7 linked regions of the Rattus norvegicus genome follow. The protein of the gene in region 5 interacts with the protein of the main gene of each other region in a biochemical or structural test. Links are inferred from orthologs where the notes say so. Each region holds a gene or a part of one and is shown on either strand. Other genes may lie near its edges. The genes, in order: Map3k14, Cops5, Map3k1, Crebbp, Chuk, Nfkb1 and Nfkbib.

The links.
Region 1: of the proteins of Chuk (region 5) and Map3k14, one has a biochemical effect on the other in vitro, tested with the Homo sapiens proteins (5 studies listed by BioGRID and IntAct, with this or other methods). The link is inferred for Rattus norvegicus from reciprocal best matches to the Homo sapiens genes CHUK and MAP3K14.
Region 2: of the proteins of Chuk (region 5) and Cops5, one has a biochemical effect on the other in vitro, tested with the Homo sapiens proteins (2 studies listed by BioGRID). The link is inferred for Rattus norvegicus from reciprocal best matches to the Homo sapiens genes CHUK and COPS5.
Region 3: of the proteins of Chuk (region 5) and Map3k1, one has a biochemical effect on the other in vitro, tested with the Homo sapiens proteins (3 studies listed by BioGRID). The link is inferred for Rattus norvegicus from reciprocal best matches to the Homo sapiens genes CHUK and MAP3K1.
Region 4: the proteins of Chuk (region 5) and Crebbp form a complex in vitro, tested with the Homo sapiens proteins (2 studies listed by BioGRID, with this or other methods). The link is inferred for Rattus norvegicus from reciprocal best matches to the Homo sapiens genes CHUK and CREBBP.
Region 6: of the proteins of Chuk (region 5) and Nfkb1, one has a biochemical effect on the other in vitro, tested with the Homo sapiens proteins (3 studies listed by BioGRID and IntAct). The link is inferred for Rattus norvegicus from reciprocal best matches to the Homo sapiens genes CHUK and NFKB1.
Region 7: of the proteins of Chuk (region 5) and Nfkbib, one has a biochemical effect on the other in vitro, tested with the Homo sapiens proteins (2 studies listed by BioGRID). The link is inferred for Rattus norvegicus from reciprocal best matches to the Homo sapiens genes CHUK and NFKBIB.

The regions. Positions count from the first base shown.
Region 1 is NC_086028.1:88,712,793-88,717,038, forward strand, and holds the start of Map3k14 (mitogen-activated protein kinase kinase kinase 14), read right to left. Parts: upstream 2,801-4,246; 5' UTR 2,735-2,800; exon of another isoform or gene 1-2,734.
Region 2 is NC_086023.1:13,985,328-13,988,827, reverse strand, and holds part of Cops5 (COP9 signalosome complex subunit 5), read right to left. Parts: intron 1,745-3,500; coding exon 1,633-1,744; intron 1-1,632. UniProt on the Homo sapiens protein: Probable protease subunit of the COP9 signalosome complex (CSN), a complex involved in various cellular and developmental processes.
Region 3 is NC_086020.1:45,145,219-45,149,518, forward strand, and holds the start of Map3k1 (mitogen-activated protein kinase kinase kinase 1), read right to left. Parts: upstream 2,801-4,300; 5' UTR 2,665-2,800; exon of another isoform or gene 2,554-2,664; 5' UTR 2,054-2,553; coding exon 1,602-2,053; intron 1-1,601. UniProt on the Homo sapiens protein: Component of a protein kinase signal transduction cascade. Activates the ERK and JNK kinase pathways by phosphorylation of MAP2K1 and MAP2K4. May phosphorylate the MAPK8/JNK1 kinase.
Region 4 is NC_086028.1:11,932,840-11,936,339, reverse strand, and holds part of Crebbp (histone lysine acetyltransferase CREBBP), read right to left. Parts: intron 3,408-3,500; coding exon 3,219-3,407; intron 1,768-3,218; coding exon 1,354-1,767; intron 262-1,353; coding exon 82-261; intron 1-81. UniProt on the Homo sapiens protein: Acetylates histones, giving a specific tag for transcriptional activation. Mediates acetylation of histone H3 at 'Lys-18' and 'Lys-27' (H3K18ac and H3K27ac, respectively).
Region 5 is NC_086019.1:252,941,474-252,945,434, reverse strand, and holds the start of Chuk (inhibitor of nuclear factor kappa-B kinase subunit alpha), read left to right. Parts: upstream 1-1,161; 5' UTR 1,162-1,259; coding exon 1,260-1,364; intron 1,365-1,414; exon of another isoform or gene 1,415-1,795; coding exon of another isoform or gene 1,796-1,822; intron 1,823-3,961.
Region 6 is NC_086020.1:226,704,463-226,707,962, forward strand, and holds part of Nfkb1 (nuclear factor NF-kappa-B p105 subunit), read right to left. Parts: intron 1,531-3,500; coding exon 1,416-1,530; intron 1-1,415.
Region 7 is NC_086019.1:93,178,588-93,182,585, forward strand, and holds the start of Nfkbib (NF-kappa-B inhibitor beta), read right to left. Parts: upstream 2,801-3,998; 5' UTR 2,542-2,800; coding exon 2,363-2,541; intron 1-2,362. Other genes in the region: Sirt2 (NAD-dependent protein deacetylase sirtuin-2), read left to right, coding at 2,970-2,985, 3,739-3,785. UniProt on the Homo sapiens protein: Inhibits NF-kappa-B by complexing with and trapping it in the cytoplasm.

The sequences.
Region 1 (4,246 bases), on a different chromosome or scaffold from region 5:
TGAACAGAGTGTTCGCACTCGAACAGCTCACCCTACCCGTGAAGACACTCAACCCATTCCTTTCCCTTATTCGGGATCCTGCTGTGCAGGGAGGGCTGACTTATCCACTCTCTGAACCACCCCTCTTCCCACCCGCTTCATGCTGGTGCCATCAGAAGTGCCCAGGGTGCTCAGAAGCCTCCGGTTTAACTGAAAGACTAAAATGGGGCAAACAGGAAGCATCAGACACAACTGCGGTAGTGACTTATTAATCACGAAAGCAGAATTTTAGTTGCATTTTAACCTTTTGCCAGGAAAAAAAAAAGCATCTAGTTGATGGGTGCTATCGGTGGAACCGTCAGCCCGCGTGTGCTGCGAGCTGACCTTTTACTGGGTCTGAATTTGGTTTTCAGTTTTCTTTTTTCTCCTAAGGGGGGAAAAATCTGTCAAGCCAATCAGGATTAGCCTGTGAGGTCTTCCCAGGGGAGTAGCACCTGTAAGAAGCCCATGTGCTGTCCATTGAGACAAGGGGAAAAAAAGAAACAAAAAAACAAAGTGACAAAGTGACTTCACAGGCAAGTGATACTACAAAACTCTTAAAGAGAGGGGAAAATGGCTCTAAAGGAACGAGCCTAGATTTAAGCTTTTATCTATTTCACATCCGTCCAGTCTCCTACCAGACCCTAGCTAAGGAGGAACCCTTTAACTCACCAAAAATCTCACAACGGTTGTCTAGGTCTGGACAACCAATCAGGGTGAGCCCTGTCCTCTCAACCCCAAGCAGATCACAAAGGAATCAGTGTTCATCGGGAGAATCAAAATGAGGAACCACACTTTATCTGCCAAGGGTGAATGGCAAACCAGGCATTTTTGTTTGATAGGCGAAGGTTCATTGGCAGGGTCTCTGTCTGTGGTGCCACTCCCACAAACTCTAACAGACACCAGAGACAAAACAACAACAACGACAACGACAACAATGACAAACCCAAAAAACAAAATCCCTTCAGAACTGCTCTATCCACCCAGAAACAATCAGAAAATGACCTGAAGCCTGATCGCACAGTACTGTTTGACTTCACAAACTGCTGGTATGTATTTCTGGGTATGTAAGCTGGGTACTTACTTCTAAAATTAAAGTCAGACATATTAACTATTTTTACGAGCTGTTCTGAGAAATTTATCACACTCTTCCAAATAAATCAGGATGTCCTCTTCCTTCTCTTTCTTTCTTTCTCTCTTTCTTTCTTTCTTTCCTTCTTTCTTTCTTTCTGGTGTTCTGAGACAGGACCTTGCTCTGAAGCCCTGATAGGCTTCTAAGTCACAGCAAATCCTCCTTGTCCTAGCCTCCCAGTGATGGATACAGGTGTGTGTCACCATGCCTAGTTTTCAAGATGTCTTAAAGGCGTTTGAAAAACTCAGAAAGCTGGCATCCACCCAAAGGAATTGCCTTTGACATCACTTTAAATACAAGAGGAAATCCACACGCACTTCATAAGCAAGTCAAGAGTCTTCAAAGCATCCTCTTACATTAACAGCAAGAAGATCAGCCCAAACCTTCCCCCCCTCTTTTCTCTAGCATAGTTACATTATACTGTTCTGATTCAGGGATCTGAAGAACTCCCTCTCACTCCTGGCTCTGAGGCCACAGACAAGGTATGTCATCCCCTCACCTGATTCAGGTATTTCACTTACCAACGGGACAACAGTCTATGCATCTCACCACACCTACCACTAAGTGGGAAACTCATTAAGCAAAAACAGGTAAAACTAAAGTCAGGATACAGTCCTCTAATCTTTCTGAAAGACTGTGTTTCTAGATCTGTGCCAGTGTTCCAAAGTCCACTGGTCATGGTGCCACCCCTCATTCATTTCATTTTTTTTTTTTAGCGTCCCTAATCCAGCCATGATTGTTCATTGTCTCCAATTAACAACAACAACAACGACAAATTGTCACTAAGACACTACTGATACTTGAAACTTTTCTCCACTCATCCTCTTGACAACCCGTGCCCACCCCTATCCATCCTTTAGGGCTGACAGCCATCTTTTAATCTCAAAAGATGGGGTGGGGGGGACCTTTTCTGAAGTTAACACGATGAGGCTCCAAAGCAGGTGGGAATCTCTGCCTCGAACAAATGTTTCTTTTTACTTAGTGACAGGTGGCTGAAAGTTGCCAGAGCCGCGATGAGCTTCCAAGATAGGACTAGTACATATAAACAGACCCCAAAAGTCCCGAATAGAACACAGAATTACACAGAATGGTAAGGACCATCGAGGAGAGAGGATATCATCAGCGACTAGCACTGCACTGCTGAGTGCCCAGAGCAGTGTTCCTCTCAGAACAAGTGATCCCAAGCAGTTCACTGGGAAAGGCTGCGCATATCATTTCCTAGGACAGTGGAGCGATCACCTTCTCTTGGGGGGCACCCAGGAGCCGGGTCTGGCAGTAGGGCGGCTGAACTTGATGGCACGGACGTTGGGGAAAGGGAAACAGACAGTACCCGCGCGCGTTCCGGGCAAGCGTGTGACCCATGGGTGCGCGGCCTGGAGGTTCCAGGCGAGCAAGGCGTTTCGAGCGTGGCGTTGATGGCGCTGAGCGTGCGAGCGTGTTAGACCGCAGACACCCGGCCACCCATCCCAGCCATCCCTCGTGGACAGCCAGGTTGCAACCCGGCCCCGGCCTGGGAGGCGCCCCTTCCCTGCCCGCTCCCTCAGCGCCCCGCTTTAGGTCTCGGGGTTCTGCCCAGTCACCTACCGGCGGAGCGCCGTTCTCCTCAAACAAGCGAGTGTGGCGCTTCGCTGGCCAGCGATCGCTCGGGGCCTCAGCTGCCCCTCCCCGACCACGCCCCCACATCTAGCTCCGCCCCGGGTCACGCCTCCCCCCGTGGCTGCGACTTTGCTAGCTTCCCGCCTCCTTTCTTTGGCCCCAACGCGACCCTTGATCCCACCCATTCCTACAGGTTAGCCAATAAGACATCTTGTTTCGGCCGGCTTGCCGTCCACTGCTCAGCAGCGATTGGCTAGCGAGGCCTCCCCCAAATGGGCACTGTTTCCGGCCAGGGCATCTAGAGCCGACGGCTGGGTGGATGGGCGGGCGGTAGGCGAAGGAGGCCAGGGTGTTGGTTGAATCACGCATGCGCTCTCCACTTGGGGCAAATCTTTTACGGGTTGCATTCTTTTTGAGGTTACGGGAAGGAAGGGCGACTCTACGCATGCGTGGGCATTCCCAGCTTCGGCTTTGGTTACCTTGGAGACGGCGGGGCGCTCTGTCTCCAAAGTCTTGGGTTTCTCTCCATTCTGCTTGAGGGCGTGGTTGCTTGGTGGAGGACTGGTGGGTCTAGAAACACTTTTTTGGAGCACTTAGTGTGAACCCGGTGCTGTAAAGTGTGTGAAGATGAGTTTGCTTTGCCTGCCCTCGAGAAGTGTGGGGAACCAAAGGCCTACGTAACACAGGCCGGGTGTTGAAATGCCGCTCTAAGGGAGCATGCAGATTTTGTGATATAGTCTCCGTTCACCCCCTGGAGAGGCTTCGTGGTGTGTGTGCTGAGCACAGGGTCCATCCTAAACTACAGAGCCAGGGAGATCTGGACTTTGAAAGCATGGTGTCTACAGTGCTCTTTTTAATGGGGGTGGGAAGGAGTGTAGGGAATGTATGGACTCTTTTTTTCCTTTTCTAACTTTGCTAATAGACCTCCTTTGCTAATGTACCACCAGCTTCTATCTACTGGCAATAAGAAATTACAAGTGCGTAATTTTGAATGTTTCCAGAATGAAAGATGTGCTGCTGCGACCTTAGGGACTCTGCTAGGAGTCCTATCTGCAGATGCAGGGACTGGCTGTACAATGGGAGTGGAAGCCATATTCTTGTCTGGTCAGATCCAGGAACAGCCTGTCTGGAAAGGTTTGATCCAGGGCCAGGCCACTGTCTGCTTGTGACCACTTTGCAGACCTAGCTTCTTTCTGGAGACAGTTCAAGCAGACCTCTGTCGTCGGACACCAAGCAAAGCCATTCATTCAGACTATATGGAAATCCCACAACCTGGCCTGCATTTAGGAGGCCAATCTGAGCTGCACAGCCTAACTTCTGTGTGGAAACAAAACCAAATAAACAACAACCCGAGAGGCTCACCCACTCCCCTGGGCCACAAACACCTTAGAGCAAAGCCTGCAGTTGCTAATAGCCCATGTTGCCTTAGTCTCAACCGGGTCAAGTGTTGTCTCTAGAACTATTTCTGGCTGGGACTCAAACTGAGTCTATATACTTCAG
Region 2 (3,500 bases), on a different chromosome or scaffold from region 5:
GTGGGCCAGGCTGGCCTCAAGCTTATTGTGTGTTAAGGAAGACCTGGGACTCCCAATTCTCTTGACTCAACCTGTCAAGTCCCAAAGTCTAGCATTACAGACACGTGCCCAGCTTGCACTTTTGAATTCTGATACTTCTAATAAGCAGAACACAGACTGTGTCAAAATTATGTTTAAGACATTAGCAAACAGGCTCAAGTGAGTCTTTCTAAGGATATAATACACCAAACAAACCCCAGCCATCGTTATCAAGGCAGGTGCTTTCTCTGCCGTAGCGAGCCAAGCGATACACCTAGTGCCACGACCACCACTCTACACCATGCAAAGGCTCAGTCAGCCCTTAAAGCTGGATGTGGTGGCTCGTGCCTACAATCCCAGCACCAGAAGGTGGACACAGAACTTCAGGGCCATCCCTGGCTGTGTAGCAACTATAAGGCTAGTCTGGGACGAACCGCGTTCTGAAGGTCACAGAGGACTAGCAGTAGTCTCACATTTGTTTTCAAACCCAGTTTATTTCAAATTATACCGTATTACATGAAGTAGTCTTTTTTATCAGAGAGTAAAAACAACAAAACTGCTAACTTCTAAATATATACCTCTTAAATATATATTTAATCTTCAGATTTCTTCCCAGGACCTCTTTTCACATGTTCCTGAAATAGCTGTTTCTACTCCAGCCCTGCAGAGCAATGTGTCCCTTGCCTTGGCCCATAGCACGTCTTCAGGATGAGCCTGTGACCTAAGCAAAGCCTAGCAAACCCAGGAGACGCTGCCCGAGACCATGCGGGTGTGTGTGTGTCTTTTTTTGTCTGCCCAACACCATGAGATGATGCTAGAGCTGCCATCTGCTTTCATGTGCAGCCTGGATGTGAACCATGCAGAGCTCAGAGAAGCTCTGACTTCACAACATCTCCTGAATGAGAATCTAGACTTGCTTGAGGACCGTTTCAGTTTCCTTCATTTGGTATCCTGTTAGTTCTAACCAGACCTGTGGTTCTCAGCCTGCCTGATACCGTGATCCTTTCATACAGGTCTTCATGTCTTCACCCATACAATTACTTTATTGCTACTTCATAACTGTAACTTTGCTATTGTTATGAACTGTAATGTAAACATCTGATACGTGACTCCTGAGGGTCTTGACATATCAGGCTACAGTGTTATATGTGTCAGAGACCTACCTGTTCTGTTATCTGAGGCAACAGAAGCAGTATTTTTGATTTTCCTCTATGAACCTCTTTAAGGCACAAGCAGAACTCCCCCATTTGGATTGCCTAGCATCCTCATTTAGCTTGGACAGAACCCTGCTCCAGCCTTGAAGTTATGCCTTTCTGTGAATTGAGTTTCAAACACCAAACAGTTTTGGAAGCTTGACTACAATTGAAATTTGTCAGGTGTAATAGCACTTGTCTATGATCCCAACAATCAAGCACCTGAAGCCAGGGGCCAGTAAGATGGCTCAGTGTGTGAAGGAGCTTGCTGCTAAGCCTCACAACCTGAGTCTGATCCCTGGGGCCCACATACAAGGGGAGAACTGACAGTGCTGGGTTGTCCTTCATGTTTCAGTTGAGCATGCATCAACTTGGGCTTCAGAGTAAAACAAAATTCAAAGGAAACAAGTCCAGTACTTACGGTAAGCAAGCTAGAGGAACTCAGGGTGTTCACCCAGTATTTATTCCACAAGAGCTCAAGTAGTTTACGATCCAAAGAGGATTTGAAATATGAGACTTCTAAGGCATAATATCTACAAAACAAGAGCACACATTTGGCAGGTGAAAAAAAATATACAGTTATATTGGATAGAAATTTTGGCTACACTTACGTAAAATTATATTTTATAGTCGTACAGTTGAACAACAGCTAAATATAGTGTTTCCTCTGTCTTTAGTTGGTACAGCTCTAAATCTGTCTACTAGCCTTTCTTATTTATTTTTTTAAAAGACTTATTTATTTATTTTATGTATGTGAGCACACTGTAGCTGTCCTCAGACACATCAGAAGAGAGCAACGGATCCCATTACAGATGGTTGTGAGCCACCATGTGGTTGCTGGGAATTGAACTTAGGACCTGTGGAAGAGCAGTCAGTGCTCTGAACTGCTGAGCCATCTCTCCAGCCCAGCCTTTCTTATTTTATATACAGTTTTTTTTTTTCCTTTTGCAGTGCCCCAAAATTTCTAAGACGCTAGTAGCAATTGGAATTCCTAAATGATGTGTTATTGAGCTCTCTCATTCTAACAACAGGCTGAGCTGAATGAGCTCCCTTAGAGCAGCTCTAGGGTTTCCAACCTCTGTGAAAACTCTAGAAACGACACACAGATCTCCCACGGCTTCCCTTCTCTAGTGTAGCCTGGGTGCTTTTTAAAAAGCACCTTAAAGTAGTTCCGAAGGTACCTAGAAGAATTTCTACTGCTTTGAAAGGTAGTTCGTTTATAATACTGAGAACTAAGGGGAATTTAGTTAAACATCTAAAAACCTATTATTATTTCTATTGAAAAACAGTCCTGGCTGGCCTAGAACTTATTGCATAGAGCAGGCTGGCCTCAAACATACAGGGAACTCCCCTACTTTTGCCTCCCAATGTGTGTGACTGTGACCGACTTTATTTTTATTTTTTCAATGAGTATTTAATTATCTTAGCTGCTTGTAAACCAATGGATAATGGATATAAGGAAACACAAGAACATTCCTTACTTAGAAACTCATTCAGATCAAAGTTAAATATGATAAAATATATTCAGTAATAGTGACTGATGCTACAGTGTACATATAAAAGAGCTACCCACCCCTATAATAGAGATAACAAGTTCTTAAGAAAAGAACTCAACTGGTCATTTGGAGCTCAAATTGTCTGAGAAGCCCTAATATGATTGTGATGGCTTACATATGTTTGGCCCAGGGAGTGGCACTATTAGAAGGTGTGGCATGGTTGTAGGAAGTATGTCACTGTGGGGTGGGTGGGCTTGCAAACGCTCCTCCTAGCTGCCTGAGGATGCGTAATCTGTTCCTGGTTTCCTTCAAGTGAAGATGTAGAATTTAGCTCCTCCTGCACCATCCCTGCCTGAACACTGCCATGCTCCCGCCTCGATGATAAATGACTGAACCTCTGAACATGTAAGCCAGCCCCAATTAAATGTTGTCCTTCATAAAACTTGCATTGGGGGGTTGGGGATTTAGCTCAGTGGTAGAGCGCTTGCCTAGCAAGCGCAAGGCCCTGGGTTCAGTCCCCAGCTCCGAAAAAAAAAAAGAAAAAGAAAAAGAAAAAAAAAAAAACTTGCATTGGTCATGGTGTCTGTTCACAGCAATAAGACCCTAACTAAGACAGAAGTTGGTACCAGGGACTGAGGTACTGCTGTGATAGGCCTGACCATGCTTTGGAAGAATGTGGATTTTGGACTTTGGATTTGGAAAGCAGAGGAATGCTTTAAAAGGGGCTTAATGGGCTATCTTACTAGGAATGTGGAAGTCTCTGTTACTGAGAGTGATTTGAATTGTGCAGGCC
Region 3 (4,300 bases), on a different chromosome or scaffold from region 5:
CAACCTTTACAATTATAAACCCTCCTTAAGGAGAGGAAAGAGAATGCGAAAATTAAGCACAGATTACTCAGGTATTCAATCCCTCCTGCCCTCACCTTCATCCTCCAATTTCGAGTCTACAGGGAACACTAAAGTTCTATATATCACTTTTGCAGTTGTTGCTCTCATGCTATATTCATAGGCCATAACATTGACTTTGTAAATGCTGAAGTGCGGCCAGCTGTATTACCATATAGGAAAAAAAAATCAGGTCTCACAAAACTAGAGAAAATTAATTCCTCCAAGTTTAAGTTAGTGTTTTTTGCTTCCGTCTGCAGTTGATCTGTAGTAAGAGTTGCCACCTAGGAATTATTCTGGTAATGTTTTAATCTAATCTGCACAAAAACAGGAAACCCTAGAGGAAGATACGTGTACAAGTGCACACAGAAAGCTGCAGTAGGGCTGGCTGCTGCCTACCTTCCTCCCCATTCTGCCAGAGCCCAGGAGTCAGCACACTTTTTACTACGGGGGGGTGGGGGGAGGAAAAACGACCTCCAAGTAATAAACGGACCGTGATTTTAAACAAGCCAGAGCACCAAAGGGGGTCAAATTACTTTAGATAACTAACCGAAACCAAGGATTCCTACTGTCAGATTCGACACACAATAAAACACTCTCCACCCATAGTAAACGTCAAGAAATTCTACGGGGCCACCGGGTGACTATCACGAAAACATATCCAGCAACTTCACACACCCAACAAGATTTTATGCTTTTGTGTATTTTCATCAGAATTTTTAAAAGTATCATATACTTAAAAAGAATTTCCTCTAACAGAAAATTTTCCAGTAGCCAAAAAAGGGCGAGGCCAAAGAGCCGTTGGTGTAAACTATCTTACGCACATCCTACTTCTGGTGCACCGGAAGACCCCTGCGAGCGAAGCCGCAGCCCCGCACCGTCCCTGTCCCCGCCACGCAGCGGGGCTGCGGGGCGCAGTCCCCACAGCTTTGAAGCTGAATGGCTGACACATCCGGTCCTGGATCCTACAGCATTCCGCCAAACGCTAACTTCAAAGGCGGATTCAAACTCCCAGCGCTCTAGCCTCCGAGGTGCGGTAGGAATTCCCAGGGACACGCAGTGAGGGAAGCCACGGAGTCCCCGCAGACCCGGCGGTCCAGCGAGCCCGCAGCGTCTGCCCGCGTCGCTTTGACAGGCGTTCCCCGCAGTCCCCGGAATCCCCCGGCCGCCTGGGGAGCGTCGCATAAGCCCGGCCCGGTACCTGCGGGCGGGCACGCGTCCCCGTGGGGCCCAGGGGCTCTATCCTGTCACAGGGCGCAGACCCACCGCCGTCACCTCCGCCCTCCGGGCTCCCCACTCACAGCGCGCCGTGGGGGCTCTCAGGACCCGGCCCCGGGAGCCCCGCACGTCCGCGGTTTGCACGCCTGTCACATGTCCGCAAACAATAACAAACTCTCCCGCACGCTCCCGTCCTGTCCCCACGCCGTCCCGGGCGCCGCCCGACCTTCAGGGCTCGGGGGCGCGGGGCCCCACGAGCGGAGCCCCGGGAGCCGCGCTCCGTCCTCGCTTCATTCATTGCCCGCCCGGCCCGGCCCGCCGCTCACCCGGAGGGGGCCGCTGCAGAGGGCGGCTCGGCCCCCGCGGGGCTCCGGGCGCCGCTGTCCCGCGCGGCCGCCAGCTCGGCAGAGTGGGAGCCGCAGCGACTCGCTGCTCCCGGGGGTGGCGGTCCCGCCGCAGGCTGGAAGCCACTCGCTCCTGCAGCCGCGTCCGCGGGCTCCGGCGACGGGGAAGTAGATGGGCAGGGCGGCGAGGCGGTGAGGAAGAGCGGCTGCTCCGGCAGCTGGTCCAGCTCCACACTCCTCACTTTGCGCAGCTGCTGCCGCCGCCAGTCCGCGCGCTCGCGGCCCGCGCTGCCAGTCTCCCGCAGCAGCCCCGCGCCCGCTGCGGGCGCGCCGCTTCCCTGGAGAGCTCCGCCGCCGCCGCCCGCCTCGGGGCTCGCCGCCGCGGCGCCCGGGAATCCCGACGACGAGGCGCGATCGCCCGCCGCCGCCGCCATTTTCTCTCGCGGGCTACATTCGCTCGTGCCTGCGGGGGAGGGAGGGGGCGGGGAGAGCGCGGGGGGCGGGCGGAGCGGCGGGCGCGCGCGCTGCGCCGAGTGCGCGGGCGCGAGCGGGAGCGGGGCCGCGTCTCCTGTCTCGGGAGCACGGAGCGGCGGGCGCGCGGCGCAGGTGGGAGGGCAGGGGCTCTGCTGGGGCCGCGCGGGGCGCTGTGCGCTGCACCCGGGCAGCTGCCAGGTAGTACGGGGCGGGGCAGCGGCTCGGCCGGAGCTCGTCCACCCTTGAGCAAGCAGTAATTGGGGCGTGAGTCCCTGGTGCTGGAAGGGGACGCAAGCCGGAGGACTCACGGTCGGTCACTTCACGCTCTCAGTAGCGGGCGCTGGGGGCCCGGCGCGCACCAGCCTGGCCCGCGCCCGAAGCGCAGGTGGCGCCCGGGACTGTCGCCTGCTGCAGACAGACGCGAAGCCTTCTCTTTGGAAAGCAGACCTCTTGTCCCGCCCTGGTGTCACAAATAACACTACTTAAGATTTCCTGTGCTACCTTGTGCACATCTGAGGCCGCTGGTTTGGGACACCCTCCCTCCTCCCACCGGCTATGCAAAAGGACCAACCCGGGTGCTCTGCCAGAGGTTACTCCCCCGTCTTGGAAAGGCAGCCTCCGACCGAAAGCGGGAGAGCACGTCTAGGGAAAGAGCCAGCGCTCTGCCAGGAAGCGCTGGATCTTGCCATCTTCTACCAGGTCTCCCCACCCCCCTCAGATGCTCCCAGCTGCACGTCCCTCTTCCTGGCAGTCAGGTGACAGGCCGGGTTCCTGGGTCCCCCCTTCCCCCACCGCCGCCGCTCCCAGGTTGTCCTATGTAGCGTCCCTCGCCTCTCTCCTGCCTGGGAGTCTTTTTAGAAAAGGTGCTGGGGATAGAGAAGCTGTAAATATATGGGAATTCCCACCCCACCCCTTTTCAACGGGATGGAGCTGCCATGTCGCCCGTATCTCCCCCTCCTCTGCTACTTCTTTTCCTCCGCCTATTTGTCTAGACTAGGCAATCTTTCAGAACCCCGGACCTCTAGATTTAATTTTTGAAACATTAAGACATGAGGCGTGGGGGAGGGGTAAGAAGGGTTTTCGTCTTACAGTAAAAGGAGAGATCTCGCCTGCATTTAAACAAAAGCCTGAACTATCTCAAAATAATTCATTTAACGTCTCCAAAGTAGATCTAATGAAGCCCTCCTTAGGTGTGTAATGTCAGCTGGAGAGCAAGAAAGGGGTTTTTATTTTTTTTTAAAGGATCCTGACTTCAATGTAAGCTCCGTGTTATGCTGAGTGCTACAACATCTGGCAGGCTATAGTTTTTGATGGTTACATTAAAAGGTACACATTTTGAAAGTTTAGATTAGTCTGTTCAAGATTTGGGTCTCCATTTAGGCTATAATTATATGCTCTTTTAATAGTAGACAAGCGTAACATCCAAACCAAACAGTAGTTATTTCCTAGGTCTTCCTAGATTGCCACACCCACCAAATTCTAAATCGAAAAGGATTAGCTTTTCTGGTTTCTACTGAGATCTAAAATAAACTTTAAATTGGCACACTCATAGTTAGGTACCTGTAAGTGAGAAAAGCCACTGCAGACCCTTCTTAGCCTTTGTCTCTATCTTTGGACCAGCTTTGGAAGTTTGGCCTGAATAATAAAGTTTTTTTTTTTTTAAAGGAAATTCCAGCAAAAAGTGACTTTTGCCTCTTTATTTGTATGGTGTTTGTTTGAAAATGAGGGTGGGCATCAAATGAAGCACAGCTGACTAACTGCCGTGCTCTGGCCTCCACATACCGCATCAGTCTATGAAGACTATTAAGACCTTTTGAATCGCATTTCCTTTTGTCTTTTATGGACATAATTCTGCTGTCATTATGCTCCTATACACAGACACACAGTTTTCTTTCAGAGATAAATAATCAAAGGGCCCAATCGACTAAGGAAGTCAGCTCCCTGCTATATACATCCATATAAAGTCTCCTTTGAAAGCAGTTAACTGGATAGGTCCTACCCAACTTTGTGAGTCGTAGGTATGGTTAAGTGGGCCCCTCCCCATCGACACACACCCACCCCACCCCACCCCACCTCCACCTGGATCCTGGAGCTCTTTGGGTCCTCTGTTGTATTTCTGCAGAAGCACATGCCAAATGGCAGGCTGCTGTAGGCTCCGCCTGCCTTAAAGTGATTCCATTTCCCCTCTTTTCTCCGCAGGTATGGTT
Region 4 (3,500 bases), on a different chromosome or scaffold from region 5:
AACACCATCCTAGGTCCTGAGGACATACGGTAAAGCTGCCACACACAGCCATGCACTAAGGCTGAGGGAGGGAGCATCTACCTCAGAGCGGGGTTCCCCCTTGGATTCAGCAGGATCAGGTTCAGCATCATCTGTCTGCACCTCTGTCTTCATTTCCAGCATGGGCACATCAGGTCCTGGCTGCTGGGAACTGGTTTCAGCACTGGTCACAGAGGAGGGAGTAGGGACTCTATTATCAATGCTGGCTGCTGCCTGAGAAAGCTGCAAAGAAATCAAAATCATTCACCTCTGTAAAGCAGATAACACAAATGTTCCTCCAACTCTTGTACCTCCAAGCTCAGTCTTCTGTTTAGTATTTCTCCTTACAACCTAAGTACTTAGTATGACCACTAAAGGGCAGAAGTACTTTTCTAAGTTATAGTCTCTCTGCTTTCTGACTGGATTATTTTACCATTATTTTCTTCACTAACATTCCTACTTATGGAGAAAGGCAAACCCTTAAGTATTTACAGGGAGGTTGGGGACTAATGGCCTATATGAAGCATGTCTCACAGGACAGTGATGGCAGTGGAGTAAGCAAACACCCCACTCCATTACAGGCTTTACCCTATGAAGCACTACAGAAACTAATAAAGAAAGATAAAGCTCTGGTAAGAGGTAAGAGTAAGCACACGCCCTTATGGAGAAACCAACAGTAATGTCATCTTTCCAACTGTTGCATGATTAATTTTGTCATTCTACAAATAGCTTAAATATCTAAGAATTAATACAAACCCGGGAGGAGGGGATCTGTTGTTTCATTATGAATAAAAAAAGGCATGTATTCTCAAACAAGGTTGATTAGCCAAGACCTTTATAGTTTGGAGCATAGCATGTCTACTAAACCCACAAAAGCACAAAAGCAGTCAAACCTGGACGGTAATTACTCTAGAACAGAAAACAGGTAAAATAATGGTAGTGCATACAGTTCAATGTGTGACATACCGAGGACTATTGATTTCTATAAACCACTTTAACCAAGGCAAACTATAAGCCATACCTTTAGGGACAATAGAGGAACAATTCAGTTTACTGCAATTTCAGACACACACACACACACACACACACACACACACACACACACTCTCTCTCTCTCTCTCTCTCTCTCTCTCTCTCTCTCTCTCTCTCTCTCTCACTTTTTGGCACCAGAGCAATTTGCTATAGCATCCCAACAGACAGAATAGTCCTTTTTTTAAAAGATGGCATCTTACTTTTCTAGCTAGATATGCCTGCTTGTGCACGAGTGCTCGACACATCATTCTTATGGTAAGGTGCCCTGTATGAGTTTAGCTTGATAATGACGAAGAGGCTCACCGGTGTGCCAGGAGGCTGAGTATGCACAGGCGTTGGTTGCTGCTGTGATGACTGAGGAGTGGCCACAGATGGTGGCTGCACTGGAGTCTGAGGCTGTGGGGTCACCTGAGCCTGTGCTGCTGCCTGCACTGTTGGGGTGCTCTGTGTTTGGGCAGCACTGGGCACTGAGCCAGGAGTTGGGGTAGGAGTCTGCCCAGATGACACAGGAGTGGATGGCTGAGTGGGAGCTGCTGGCTGGGGAGGGGTCATCCCTGGTGGTGTCGGATGCTGGAGAGAGGGCATGCCAGCAGCTGTGGAAGCAGGAGGTGGAGTCGGGTGCAAAGGTGACTGTGTCACTGGTGGGCAAGGAAGCTGGCTGGTCTGGGGCGCCAGCATGTTCAGAGGGTTAGGAAGTGTACCTCCAGGCACCTGGCCCTAAAAGAAATAATAAGAATATGTAAAACTTACTTTACCCAATTGAAACCATAAGGGACTTACGGAAAAAAAAATTAGAAAAATGTAATTCTAGTTTCTTAATTAGTTCTGGTAGTTTCATGAGGATAGTACATTTGCAAAACTTCAGACTAACCATTTATAGCATGCACCACACCATGTAATAATAAGCACTAAAATGCTTCTATACTCTGATTTGTATAACGTCAATATCTGATTACAATATTCATGGCTTAGACACATTTACTTAGTTTACCGACTTCATGTTTTGTAACATCTACTTAGACAACAGAAAAAGGGCTTTTTTTTTTTTTTAAAATAAGTTGAGATACTAGAACACTGGGGAGACCCCTGACTTAAAAAAAAAAAAAAAAGAGAGAGAGAGAGAGAGAGAGAGAATCAAAATTACCATTCCAGAGACAAGTTTGGCCTAGGGACTTTGGTCCAGTTCTACAGGATGACAACAACAACCAGATTACAAGTTACATGGTGTGTGTAACTACTTATACACTTTGAGAGCAGAGTTAAACAGTTAAGACTAGGACTATGGCCCTGAGAACCAGCTGTTGAACAGAAAAGGTTTACTGCTGGTCATTGTGGCATATGGCTAAGATACAAAGAGTGTAGCCTGGGCTACGTAACATGGAGAGACTCTGGAAAGAGAAGAAAGTTGGTTTCCTGATCTCTGTTCTGAAGAAATGAGATAGAGAAAATTAATCATTACTGAGCAAGCCTAACATATTCAACAACTCATTCAGCATTAGCTAAATTCTTAAAAGGACACAATTTTTTTTTATTTTGAGAAAAGATTTAGCCTACTTTGTATGCAGCTGACATTTGATATACTACAGTTAACCAAAGTGGGAGAAAGCAGTAAAATGGGTGGGAAAGTCGGCTGTAACTAAATAACTGAGGCATGCTCAGGAGAAGAGTGCTACTCCAATGAGTCTGCTAGCCTTGACCCCCAACACACATAGTCAGAGAGACAGACAGACAGACAGACGCGCGCGCGCGCACACACACACACACACACACACACACACACACACACACACTGAAATCCAAGAAACCAAGTCACTAAAAGAGGATCCACCCTTCAAGTTCTAGTACTTCTCAGGATGCCGTTAATCTTAGATTTCTAAAACACACAAACAGCAACCAAAATCCAAAGATAAAAAATATAAAGAAAATAAAACAAATGAACAAACAAAAACAAAAGACCAACCAACCAACCAAAAACCCCACAACCACAACCCATTTTACTTTTGTGTGAAGTTCACCTAGAAGGATTGAGAATTAAAAATTACGGAGCAAAATGGGAAATGGAGATATATACTCTAGAATTCTAGTTCCCATAAAATAAGACAGGAACCTGTCAACAGAGGCTGAGGCTACGTAAATACTAGCTGACCAGGCTCCCACACTGAATGTACCTGTGAAACACCTGCCTGGGTTGCGGGCTGCCCCATGCCTACACTGTTCACACTCATTGCCCCACTGGATGATGGAAACTGGTTCTGTGGCAGAAACTGGTTCTGAGTAGGTGCCTGGGCCATAATGTTGTTGGCATGGGTGCCCATCATATTGGGAGGCTGAGGCATCCGGGAAGGAGAAATGGCCATCTATAAGACAAGAATCAGAAGTGTTAGGCTGGAGTCTTCAAGAGATAACGCAGTGCTATGGAGATCCAAAGCCTTACAAATAAAGTATACTTT
Region 5 (3,961 bases):
AAAGTGAACTGACTGTAGAAACCAGCTTGATTAACCCAGTCAACATTATCTTGGCTGGAGTTTTCATCGTCTCTCTTCTTATGAAACTATTATGAATCTATATCCCATCTGTGGAGATGGGGCATGCCTTTCACGCCTATCTCTGTCATACACTGCAAATGAGGCTTCATATTGTTAGACTGTCTCCTCTCCTCTAGAGATGTTCTCTCAGAGGCTAATTTCAATTACCTTCAAGTCCGATATTCCAATTCCACAGAAGACATGAAAAGAATAGAAACCAGCTTATCGAATACAACTCACTATTAGTGATGCACAACATCGAATTGCATGCTGACAATGAGCATCCTTGACTTCAGCCCAGTGGGGTGCTACAAGCCTGTAATCCCACTCTCAGAAAGATGGAGGAATAACAAGTTCTAGGCCAGGCTGGACTGTATTGAGATCCTGTCTCAGAACAAGACACCTAGAGAAGCGGATAACCCACTCAAAAGGCTAGGCGGGTTGACGTTCCCTGTGCAACCCACCACTCAGAAGTATTATGCCTTATCGGACCGAGACTTCCCCCAAGCTTGTCTTTGCAGTCATGTGGCACCACTTCAGAATCAATTCCAATCCAGAACCACTTCCCTGGCAAATCTGAAAGAACAAGGCTGATAAGCAGTAAGGTCGGTAGGAAAACTCACAAAGTCCGGAAGAGTTTTTCACTCAGGAATAACGTCACATCCTTGGGTGGTTTGGAATTATAGGAGAGACTCTGACTTAGAAGGCTAATGAATCAACAGGCCGGTTAGCGCAGTTTCCTTTCACATTTACGGAGGCCTTAACCGGTGCCGACCAGCGAGTGTGGTAGGATTCCAGGGGCAGAGGGCAGGACTCTCAAAAAGATGAAATGTTTGCAAGGTAGGGACAATGCGGAGTTTAGGGTTTGGAGAGAGATCTATTTTCAAATAAGAACACGTTGTATGAAACCCTCAAAGAACCAATTAAAATATCTAAACAAAAAATAAAAACAGCACGCTCCATAGTCCTCGCAGCCTGGAAGTTGCCCGGGCACTTAAAACAGAATAGGAATCCGCTCGTGCCCAGCCTACTCGTATGCACCAATCCCAGTGTGACTCGAGACGCACGGGGCGGGACTTTGCTTGCGGAAGCTAGCGGAAGTGACGCAGTCTCGCGAGAAGGAGGACTCGCAAGCCTCGGCGGCCCGGAACCGGCCTCGGACTGGTGGCAGTGCCTGAGGCGGCTGGCGCTCCCGCCCCATGGAGCGGCCCCCGGGGCTGCGGCCTGGCGCCGGCGGCCCCTGGGAGATGCGGGAGAGGCTTGGCACCGGCGGCTTCGGGAACGTCAGTCTGTACCAGCACCGGGTGAGGCGGGAGGCGGGAGCAGTGACGCCGGGTCTGTCTGGGCGTCCCTGGAACACGGGCTGTCAGTCAAGGTGGAAGGGGAGGTGGTCTAGCCCCTGGGCAGTGCTGGGGCCAGGGCAGTGAGCGAGCGCCGGTGATACTGTGCTTGTGAGCCTGGGTGGCCGTGTTCCAGGTGTGTCTGAGGTCCCTGGGCAGTGAGTGACAGGGAGCTGTCGCAACTGTGTGTGGTGATGAGTCTGTGTGCATGTCGAGTGCCCGAGCGTGCGTGTGTTTGTGTCTATGTGTTGTGTGTGCCTGTGTGTGTGTGTGTCTGTCTGTCTGTCTGTCGCCGGGTGCCTGCTCACACTCGCTCGGGAGCGGTGTGATCCACTGGAGACTGGCATAGACGAGGAACCTTTCTAGTGTCCAGAGTTGAACCTTTGGAAACATTGATGGACTTTGGAATTGGAGCGTTTCAGGTAAAGACCAGGGTGGGTGAAGGTAAGTAAGGCGATGAAAATGATCCTTGCTTCAGAGGAAAGGAAATAGACTGAAAGGTGAGGGATTTGTTCTCTAGAAGACAGCTAATGTCAGGCTCAGGAAATTTGATTTATCGAAAAACATGTAACCATTGCAACGGCAGTCACTCGTGCATTTAAAGGATTTTCAAACCAACAGTCACTTTACTTACGATAGTGTGTTGTTGTTAATGCTGGGGGTGGAACACAGGACCTTGCACATGCTAGGCAAATGGTTGACCATTGGGTTTCATCCTCAGCCATAGTTAATCATGTCTGAGTCACAGGTCTTTTGATAAGTCAATAAAAATTATGCATCTTTTCTCCAGAAAAATCCTATCAGTACAAACCAGCACGTTATTATTGACGGTTTTTGCTTTCCTGAAGGATGTAGGGAATAGACCTTGAATACTAATCATTGCAGTGTAGGATTTTTGTTGACTGTAAAATATTTAGAAGAGTATACATACATTCTGGGTCTCTTTGAGAGTTACGTCAGATGTCATTAGAAACTTAGCAAGTACTAGGTAGGCACTGTAATTGTCGGTTGATAGGTCTCCACTGTCATGTTATCATAACCCCCATCAATTGTACGTTTACAAAAGGGACAGTAAAATAAAAATGGTGTTCTGGAGCATCATACACAAGGGATACGTTTTAATTAGAAAAACAATAAGCCAAGTACAGACATGTTAGTAATACCTTAAGATTGGGCCTACCAGGGTTGGTATACTCAGCTGGTAGAAATAGTTCCAGTATTTCATATATACCTTTGAGGACAGGAAGAAGGACATGAAATGATTTAGTTGATTGCTTTATCGGGCATTGATGGTGCTCAAATCAACAAGAATATTATTTTTACCCTGAAGGAGCTTTCCATTTCAGAGAGAGATGGGCATCGGAACAGGTAGGCATGGTGGCATATGCTTGTAATCCTAGTACCAAGGGCTCTGAGGCAAGAGGATTTGGAGCTGAGACCCAACTAGGTGGTCTTCATATTGTGCTCAAGGCCAGTGTCAGTTACATAATAGACCGTGTTTCAGAAATAAACATAAGTACAGTTTGATACCCTAGACACTGGAAGATGTCATAGGGTTTTATTGCTGTGAAGAGACATAATGACCAAGGCAGATTTTATAAAGCAAACCATTTAGTTGGGACTGGTTTCAGAGGTTTGGTCCATTAGCCGCATTGTGGGAAGCATAGCAACATACAGGCAGACATGGAGTCAAGAGTCCAACATGTTGATCCTCACGCTGCAGAAGGAGACTATGTTCCATATTGGATGCAGCTTGAGATAGGAAGCATCAAAGCCCACTCCCACAGTGACACACTTCCACCAACAAGGCCACAGGCACTCCCATGAGGCCATACCTCTTAATAGTGCCACTTTCTGTGGGTCAGGCATTCATGCACATCAATCTATGGAGGCCAGACCTGTTCAAACCACCACATCAGAGGGCTTTTGCCTCGGGGTATTTGAAAAACCTAGTTCCATGGAATCCATTAAAGAAAGAATATAGAAAGGCATGGTAGGAACCCGTGGGAGAGTGAGGCAGGAGGATTGCCTTCAGTTCAAAGCCACTATGGGCCATTAGAGTAAGAACCTTTAAAAAACAAAATGTATGGACTAGAGATATAACTTAGTGGTCACATGCATGCCCTAGGTTCTGTCCTCAGTACTACAGATTCAACCTTCCACACATTGAAAATAATTGTGGGTAGGGTGGGGCTTGGGATTGCAGGAGAAGCATCTACTAAACGTATACCGATAGAGGATTTATCTAAGTTTTGTGCAAGTGCTGTGCTCTTTAATGCAATGGACCCGAGCTTCGACTGACGTCAGGATTCTCTGGAGGTCCTAGAGGCTGCAATCTACATATTGAGCAACAGCGTCACTTTTTCCACACACATTGATAATGTTGCGTGCACTAGTCCTTTTGCTTGGAGAATCATGATTCAAATTAGGAATCCAATTTAAAAGCTCCAAAAAGTAAAGAAATTTGTGTTTTCAAACTTTATTCCTGCCTCATTTTTCAAAATACCAGAACCAGTAGATTCATATTACCATACCTAATGTGTTAGGATTTTATTACTATG
Region 6 (3,500 bases), on a different chromosome or scaffold from region 5:
AGTAAGAGCACCAGTGGAAGGGGAAGCCCTGGGTCCTGCTAAGACTGAACACCCAGTGAACTAGTCTGTTGGGGGGAGGGCGGCAATGGGGGGAGGGTTGGGAGGGGAACACCCATAAGGAAGGGGAGGGGGGAGGGGGATTTTGCCCGGAAACCGGGAAAGGGAATAACACTCGAAATGTATATAAGAAATACTCAAGTTAATAATAATAAAAAAAAATGGAGTTAGCGTGGTTGTATGGAAGGGTATGCGCTCAGTTCTGAGTGTAGTCCCAAGCACCAAAATGAACCAAAAAAAAAAAAAAAAAAAAAAAAAACCACCAAAAAAACCAAAACCAAAACCCATATAAACAAACAAACACCAAGTAAGAACTCCACTAGTTCTTGTCTCTTCTAAGCACAAATTATGCATGGTTATTGGCCACAGTTTTGCAATGAAAGCAACATAACCTGGAAGCAGAGGTCTCAGCACCATCCTGGCTGTGGGATCAGAAAGACACACTGGGCAAGTGAGTTCAGAGATACATAAAAGCCAACAAGAGGAAAAGACCAACAGACCCAGAAAAATGGAGGGGTAGGAGAGGGGGAGGGGTAGGAGAGTGGGTAGGGTAGAAAGGGGGGAGGGGTAGGAGAATGGGTGGGATAGGAAGGGTAGAGGGGTAGGAGAATGGGTGGGGTAGGAACGGGGGAGGGGGAAGAAGAGGAGGGGGTAGAGTAGGAGAGGAAGAGGGTTAGAAGGGGAGGGGTAGGAGACAGGGAGGGGTAGGAAGGGGGAGGGGCACAAAAGGGCTGGAGAGAATTAGAGGTGAGGGAGGAAGGAGGCCTCAGAGCAGGCCACAGTCCTATTTCTGCTCCTGGAGTTTCTGATTTGCTTTACCTCAACATCTTCATCTATCCTCAGTTGACTGTGCCACCATCTCTAGCTGGTTTCTCCTGGAGTTTTCCGTCCTCCCTACCTTCTCAAACCTGAGCTGGTTCCTCTTCCTGTTACAGCCTTTCACCTCTCCAGGAGCTGACCTCAGAGCCTTTCCTCCACACATACTGTAAATACCCTTCCTCGGACCTCAAAATTCTCACAAAGTACTGCGTTTTGAAACTTGATTTTCTTTTTGACTCTGTCTCTCCTGACAGCTGTGACTTTCCTCCCCTAGATTCTCCCTCAAAACTATCAACTCTGACTTCTAGATCTTAAAGTTTGCTTTTCTAGAAGATAGTGAATTTCCATGCAGCGTGATTGTCATCAAATCCATGATCCTACTCGTCTCTTTATAAAATAGCTTTCCCAGCTAAAGATACTTTTAAGATACCACTTATGAAAGGATGTTGTTTCCTTGTTTCCTGTTACCGATAACAGCACACACATGTATTACAAAGTAAACCTTTTCTCTTCTTGACTGTCTTGAGGTGGCTGCTTACCTGATACAGATCGTTTCTCATGTTGATGATGTCATCAGAGATCGAACCAGATGTCACTTCTAGCAGATCCCTCACGAGCTGAGCATGAAGGTGGATGATGGCTAAGTGTAGGACACTGGAATGAACACGGTGGTGATAATTAACTGGGGGCTCAACGAGTGACAGTAACAAAAAAGTCAAGAAACGACGGAACTGAAGACTGAATCTAAGTGTTACGCATAGCATTCTTTGGCCCTCCCATGTACTGATATGAGGTGACATGATTTCTCTGGAGGATTTCTCCCACTGCCCATTGCAGATTACTACATGCTGATTGTGCCCACCTGGCCGTGGGAGTGTTAATGTCTGACCAGACACGTGAAGTGCAAAGGCACCTGCCCTGTTGGTCGGAGACCAAATGGCCTTAAGCTCCAAGCCAGCTCTGTCTCTGTGACTCAGACTCAGGCAGCTCTCCCTGGTCTTTCCCTGACAGACCATGAACAAAGGCAATGCCCAGGCGTAGGGACAGCTCAGGAAAACTCAGTTGCTGAGTGAGCTCTGTTCCTCCGAAACAACGAGAAGTGACTTCTGTTTTTAAGCAAGATCTTGTTACTTATCCCTGAAGGATTTCATGTAGCAATACTTCTCAGGGAAGACCACAAAGTTGCTCTTTAGAGGATCCTGTGTCGGTGTTGACTACAAGTGAAGCGTGCGTGCTTTGATGAGAGGCACTGCAGCCACACCTCAGGCTTCAGTGTGGCTCCTGATGGAACCCTGACAGAAGTGAGGCTTGTGAGACGTGATGGAGAAGTGATGGAGACGTTCACACATCGAGTAAGAGGGCTTCAAAAGCTACTTCAACATTTCCACGTGCGGCTCAGAGCTTCACAGAAGAGCATCCCCTCCCCCTCAGATCCTCATACCCCTGGAGGAATTTCCCCAGTACCAGAGGGTTCTATATTTTTTCCTTATTGTATTTTCTATGATGACTAATGGTGACGGGGTCCAAATATGGCAAGCTGAATAAATATGAGAAACCAGGATATTTCCTTATCTACACTTCTGAGTGGGTCTTCTGTGTCTCCCAGGTCTCACACCCCTAGCCTCTCAGAGAGCCTGCTTGTTGAAGTCTTGGACGAGGCTCTGTGTATTGTCCTCACTTAGGCAATGCTGGCCACTGTCTCGGCTGCCCCATGGCCATCTAGTGTCCATACATGTATCCTTACGTCTTTCAGAAATCAGTGTTCCACTTCCTACCATGCTTGCCCTCATTACTCATGAGCTGAGCCAGTCCTTAAAGATGGCACCTGAGGTGCCGATGGGTGTGCGCCCTGGTTATCCGCTCTGTTTTGTGGTTATTTGCTATTGAATGCTAACGGGATGATTTCCCGCTAAAGGCGCCTTCTGCTATTCAGGGCTTTTTACAGAGAAGGTTGTCTGGGTTCCTCTTGTACTGTAGGACAAGGCCAGCGGTTATACCACATCCTTAGTTACACTGCAAGTGACGGGGACAAAGGTCTCTGTACGAAACCCCTGAGGTTGGCATCCTCCTAAAGCATTTTGTTTTTAAACTGAGACTTACCACGGCACTCCCAAATGCTGCCACAGAAAAGGACTCCTTTTCAGCGTTAATGCTATTTTAGGACCCCCTTAGATAAAGCACTTGAATCTCAAGACTGCTGTCTCTGGCTATTTTTATAGGCTTTTAGCTCATTTCAGAAGGCTCAATGGAAGGACTAAGAGAACACTTTAGGAAGGAGCCAGGTGCCTTTGCAAACGGAACCTCAGGAATAGAGAGCAGGCATGGCGTCTGGAATTTCAGACTCCCACGCAGCCTGGCCTGGAGCTGAGGCAGAGTCTGGTCCTCTCACACACTAGAGACCACAGAGAAGCAGCCAGGAGCTAGGGAAGAAAGGCATTGCCTCTTAGTTACTGTACTAATGTCTTTACCAGGCTCTCCCTTGGGTACACTGTGACAATAACGCTTCAGGGACTTGATGGGACTGTCAATAGTTTTCTCAACATTATTTTACACACAAGGCAAGGGTTTAAAATTAACATGCTCACACACTTGAGTCTTCTCGCCCAGGGAGGCAGCACACTGGA
Region 7 (3,998 bases), about 160 Mb from region 5:
AGTTCCAGGGGCTCCAACAAGCACAAACACAGTCCACATACATGTACACAGGTAAAACAGTCATACGCATAAAGTAAATTATTTGGAAGGTAATGGCAAATGTATCTCTGAGTTCAAGGCCAGTTTGGTCTGCAGAAAGAGTTCTGGGACAGTCTGGGCTACACAGAGAAACCCTATCTCAAAACAAAAACAAAAACAAAAAACAACAACAACAAAAAACAAATAAAATAAAATAAACCAAAGACAAGTTTCATAGTGTGGACAGAATTTCTTAAAGGCAACACCTGTCGATAAAAAAAAGCCTATGGCCAATGAGCTGAGGGAGGAAACAGGTGGGACACTGCCAGGAAGAGAGAGAGAATTCTGGGAAATGGTGAGGAAAAAAGGGAGATGCAGGGAGAGGCACTGGAGGGGTCACTGAGACACTGAGAAAGACGACGCTAAGGAAGAGGCAGGCTGGAGACTGCAGGAAAGGTAACCACGTGGAAGACATAGGATAGTTTGAATGCGTTAAATAGGTTATAAGTTAGCCAGGGAATGAGCCAAAGCTTGTAGCCAAGGCATTTATTAATGAATAATTAGTGCCAGAGTCCTTGTTGGGAGCTAAATGGCTGAATCAATTATTTTTATTATTTTTTACAGTAGTGTTCAAGGCTAGCCTGGGCTACATAGTAAGACACTGACGAAAAAGGGGGTGGAGTGGGTGGCTGGGGAACTATTTTGTAAGTAAAGCACAGTGACCTTAGTTCAGAACCCACATAAAAAAAAGCTGGGTGTGGTTGTAAGTATTTATAATCCTAACACTAGGAGATCCCTGGAGTAGAGCACAGAGGCGCACACCTTTGGTCCCAGCACTCAGGACATAGAGGCAGATGGATCTTTATGAGTTTGAGGCCAGTCTGGTCTACATAGTGAGTTCCAGGTCAGCCACCCTGTCTCAAAGAGGAGGAGGAGGGTGGGGAGCAAGAGACAAGGTTCTCTCAGGCCAGCTAGTCTAGCCTATGTGGTTAGTGCGAACACACACACACACACACACACACACACACACACACACACACACACGCACATCCCTGAGCTGGATGTAGTGATACACACTTGGGAGGTGGACACAGGAGAATGAAAAGTTCAAAGCCATCCTCAGCTACAACCTGAAGGCTAGCATGGGCTACACAAGACTGTCAAAAACAAACAAGCAAAACAAAACAAAACAAAACAAAAAAAAAAAAAAAAAGAGGGGGGTTGGGGATTTAGCTCAGTGGTAGAGCGCTTGCCTAGGAAGCGCAAGGCCCTGGGTTCGGTCCCCAGCTCCGAAAAAAAGAACAAAAAAAAAAAAAAAAAGGATAAAGAAATTACAAAAATTAAATAACCAGAGGGAAACAATAAAGGAACAAGGGCCAATAAAGTAGAAAGTGAAAAATTAGAAAATTAAGGAAACTACTCCTGGCTCTTTAAGATGAGTGTTTATTGGGTTCCCCTCATGGGTCAGGCACTGAGTCACTGGGTATACGCAATGAGCACAAAGGACAAGAAAATCCCGGGTACACTCCCTTACACACACTGTCACCACAGCCATCCCTTCTCCCCAGTTTATCTACTAATCAACATTTCCTGCTCCACACCCCCCCCCCAGGCTCCCTCTCCTCCTTTTCCTTATCCCTCCTTTTTGATACCGGTCTTCCCAGGCTCTCCTCAGACTAGCAATCCTCCTGCCTCAGCCCCTTAAGAGCTGGGATGACAAGTGTGTACCACCACATTCAGCTAAACTAAAACCAGGGATTGAAAGGTGGTAGTTAGGGAGAGACGTTTGGCTAACAGATGAATCCATCTTCATAGAATCGAGCTTCTAAATTTTATGTAGCTCTGGCTGGCCGGCATCTCAATCAGGTGGCCCCAAACTCACAGAGATCAACCTGCCTTTGCCTCCCAACTTCTGTGAGGCCCATGACACCCAGTAGCTCGGTTTCTCAATTGCAGGGTCAGTGCTGGATGTGTCAGCGTCGTAGACTCAGGGTCAAGAATTAATTTTGGAAATCAAAATCTGGCTTATACAAGAATAGCCAAAGACCAAAGACCACATCTGGAAGCAAGAGGTCAGAAGATGTGGGAACTAGAGTGGTCAGAAAGGTTCAGACCCGATTTGGGGATCGTAAGCTCAAATTTAAGAGTTCAGAAAAGTTGAGACACTTGACTGTGAGTGAAAACGGACTAGTCTCACAATTTAGTGATTGGTGGTTATGGGTCAGGAAGTCCAGCATCAGAAATCAGAGTTAGGAACGAGAAGATAAGAAGCCACAGAAATCATAGGCTAATGGAGACTCAGGTAAGATCCCTAGGGTAAATTGGTAATTTAAGGTTTACTCACGTGTCCCCATCCTCAGTGACGTAGCCAAAGACTAAGGGCGCCCAAGACAGCTCTGGGCTAAGCTCTGCGACCAGACCTGGTCCTCCGGGAGCTGCTGCGTCGGGACCTAGAGAGCCCAGGCCACTGTCGCACCATTCATCGGCGTCTGCAGTTTTCCCCAAGCACGCGACCCCGGCCATTGCCCCTGCCACCTCGGGTGGCCCCCTGCGGTCGCCTGCCTGACGCTGGGTTCTGCCGAGAGCTCCAGCGCTTCCGCCCTATTGGGAATTCCCCAACACGCCCCCTCATATACCCAATCAAACTGTGTTAAATAGCCACACCCCGCCTCTGTACTGCACCAGAACCAATCAGAATAATGAGATGGACATTCGCTCGCTGAGTTTCCCCAGATTTTCCAGACGCCCTTTATTAATATGGCCGCCGGCGCCAAGCCTTTTGGGATTTGTAGTTTGATAACGTGAGGGGAGCACCGTATGAAAGCGGTTACGGGACCGCGTTGCCTGTCGGGAGTTGTATTTTTCTATCCTCTCTCGGCTCCTTCTTGTTTCCGCTGCCGTCACGGGACAGAGCAGTCGGTGACAGTCCCGAGAGCCCCCACCCCGTTCCCATGGCCGAGCCGGACCGTGAGTTAGGGGCCCTGGTGGGAGGGTGGGAGGGTCGGGCCGCGCCGGGGCCTGGCTTTGGGCTGCAGGCCCCGGGGCCCGCGGGCAGGTCGGTGGGGTGGGAGACAGAGGCTGCCTGAAGGGAGTGGGATTCGGAGGGCTGTTGCTAAGTGGTCGATATTGCTAGGTTGGTGGGTTTCTGGATTGTGAAATTTAAGGGTCCATTTGCAAAGTTTTGAATGATCGCGTTTCTCGCACTTTGGTTGCTGAGGACCCTCGTTGCTAAGGACCAAAGTTACCACGATCCCGGTTGCTAAGGTTGCCTGTTGTTAAGGGCAACTATAGTATGTTTGGGGACCCCTGCGGCCCCTTTCTATCTCATTCCTTCAGTTCTTGTGCCTCTCCTAAACCTCCCACCTTCACTGCATCTCCTCTCCCACACTCAACTCTCAGCAGAAGTATCCCTACTTAACATCTCTTGAAAAACTTAGCCCTCCCTCATTCTCCTGGCTCGCACTCGCTACCTTATCCTGCTTAACTCTGAAACCTTCCTTCAGTCCCGTTTCACCTGCTTTTTCCTCCCAAACCTTCCCCTCCTCACACATTCCTCCACTCTAAAACATGCCTTTCCCCATCTCCAATAGTTTTACTACCATCCATGACTCCAGGATAATTAGGTTGGTGGGTCCTATTGTCGCCTCCACCACTGTGAACCCTTCATCTGCTTAACTATTTCCCCCCACTGTAACCACGTCTGCTCCCCCTCCTCCCCAGCCTCTGACCCTCTGGAGAACCAGGCAGGGAAGGTGCAGGAGGCTCAGGTGAGATGGGGAAAAGGGTGGAGGGAAGGAGAGAAATGGACGTGGTTCCACATGCCGCACTGGGGGAGGTGCAAGGGAAGGCTTTTACCCAAGGGCCCTTGGCTTATGGCCCTGATCCCTAAACCCATCTGGGGATTAGTACAGCTCCTGGGAGAATGGCGGCTTCTGGGGACTGTCAAGGAAAATGTATAGCCTCAACCCCTGGTTCCCTTC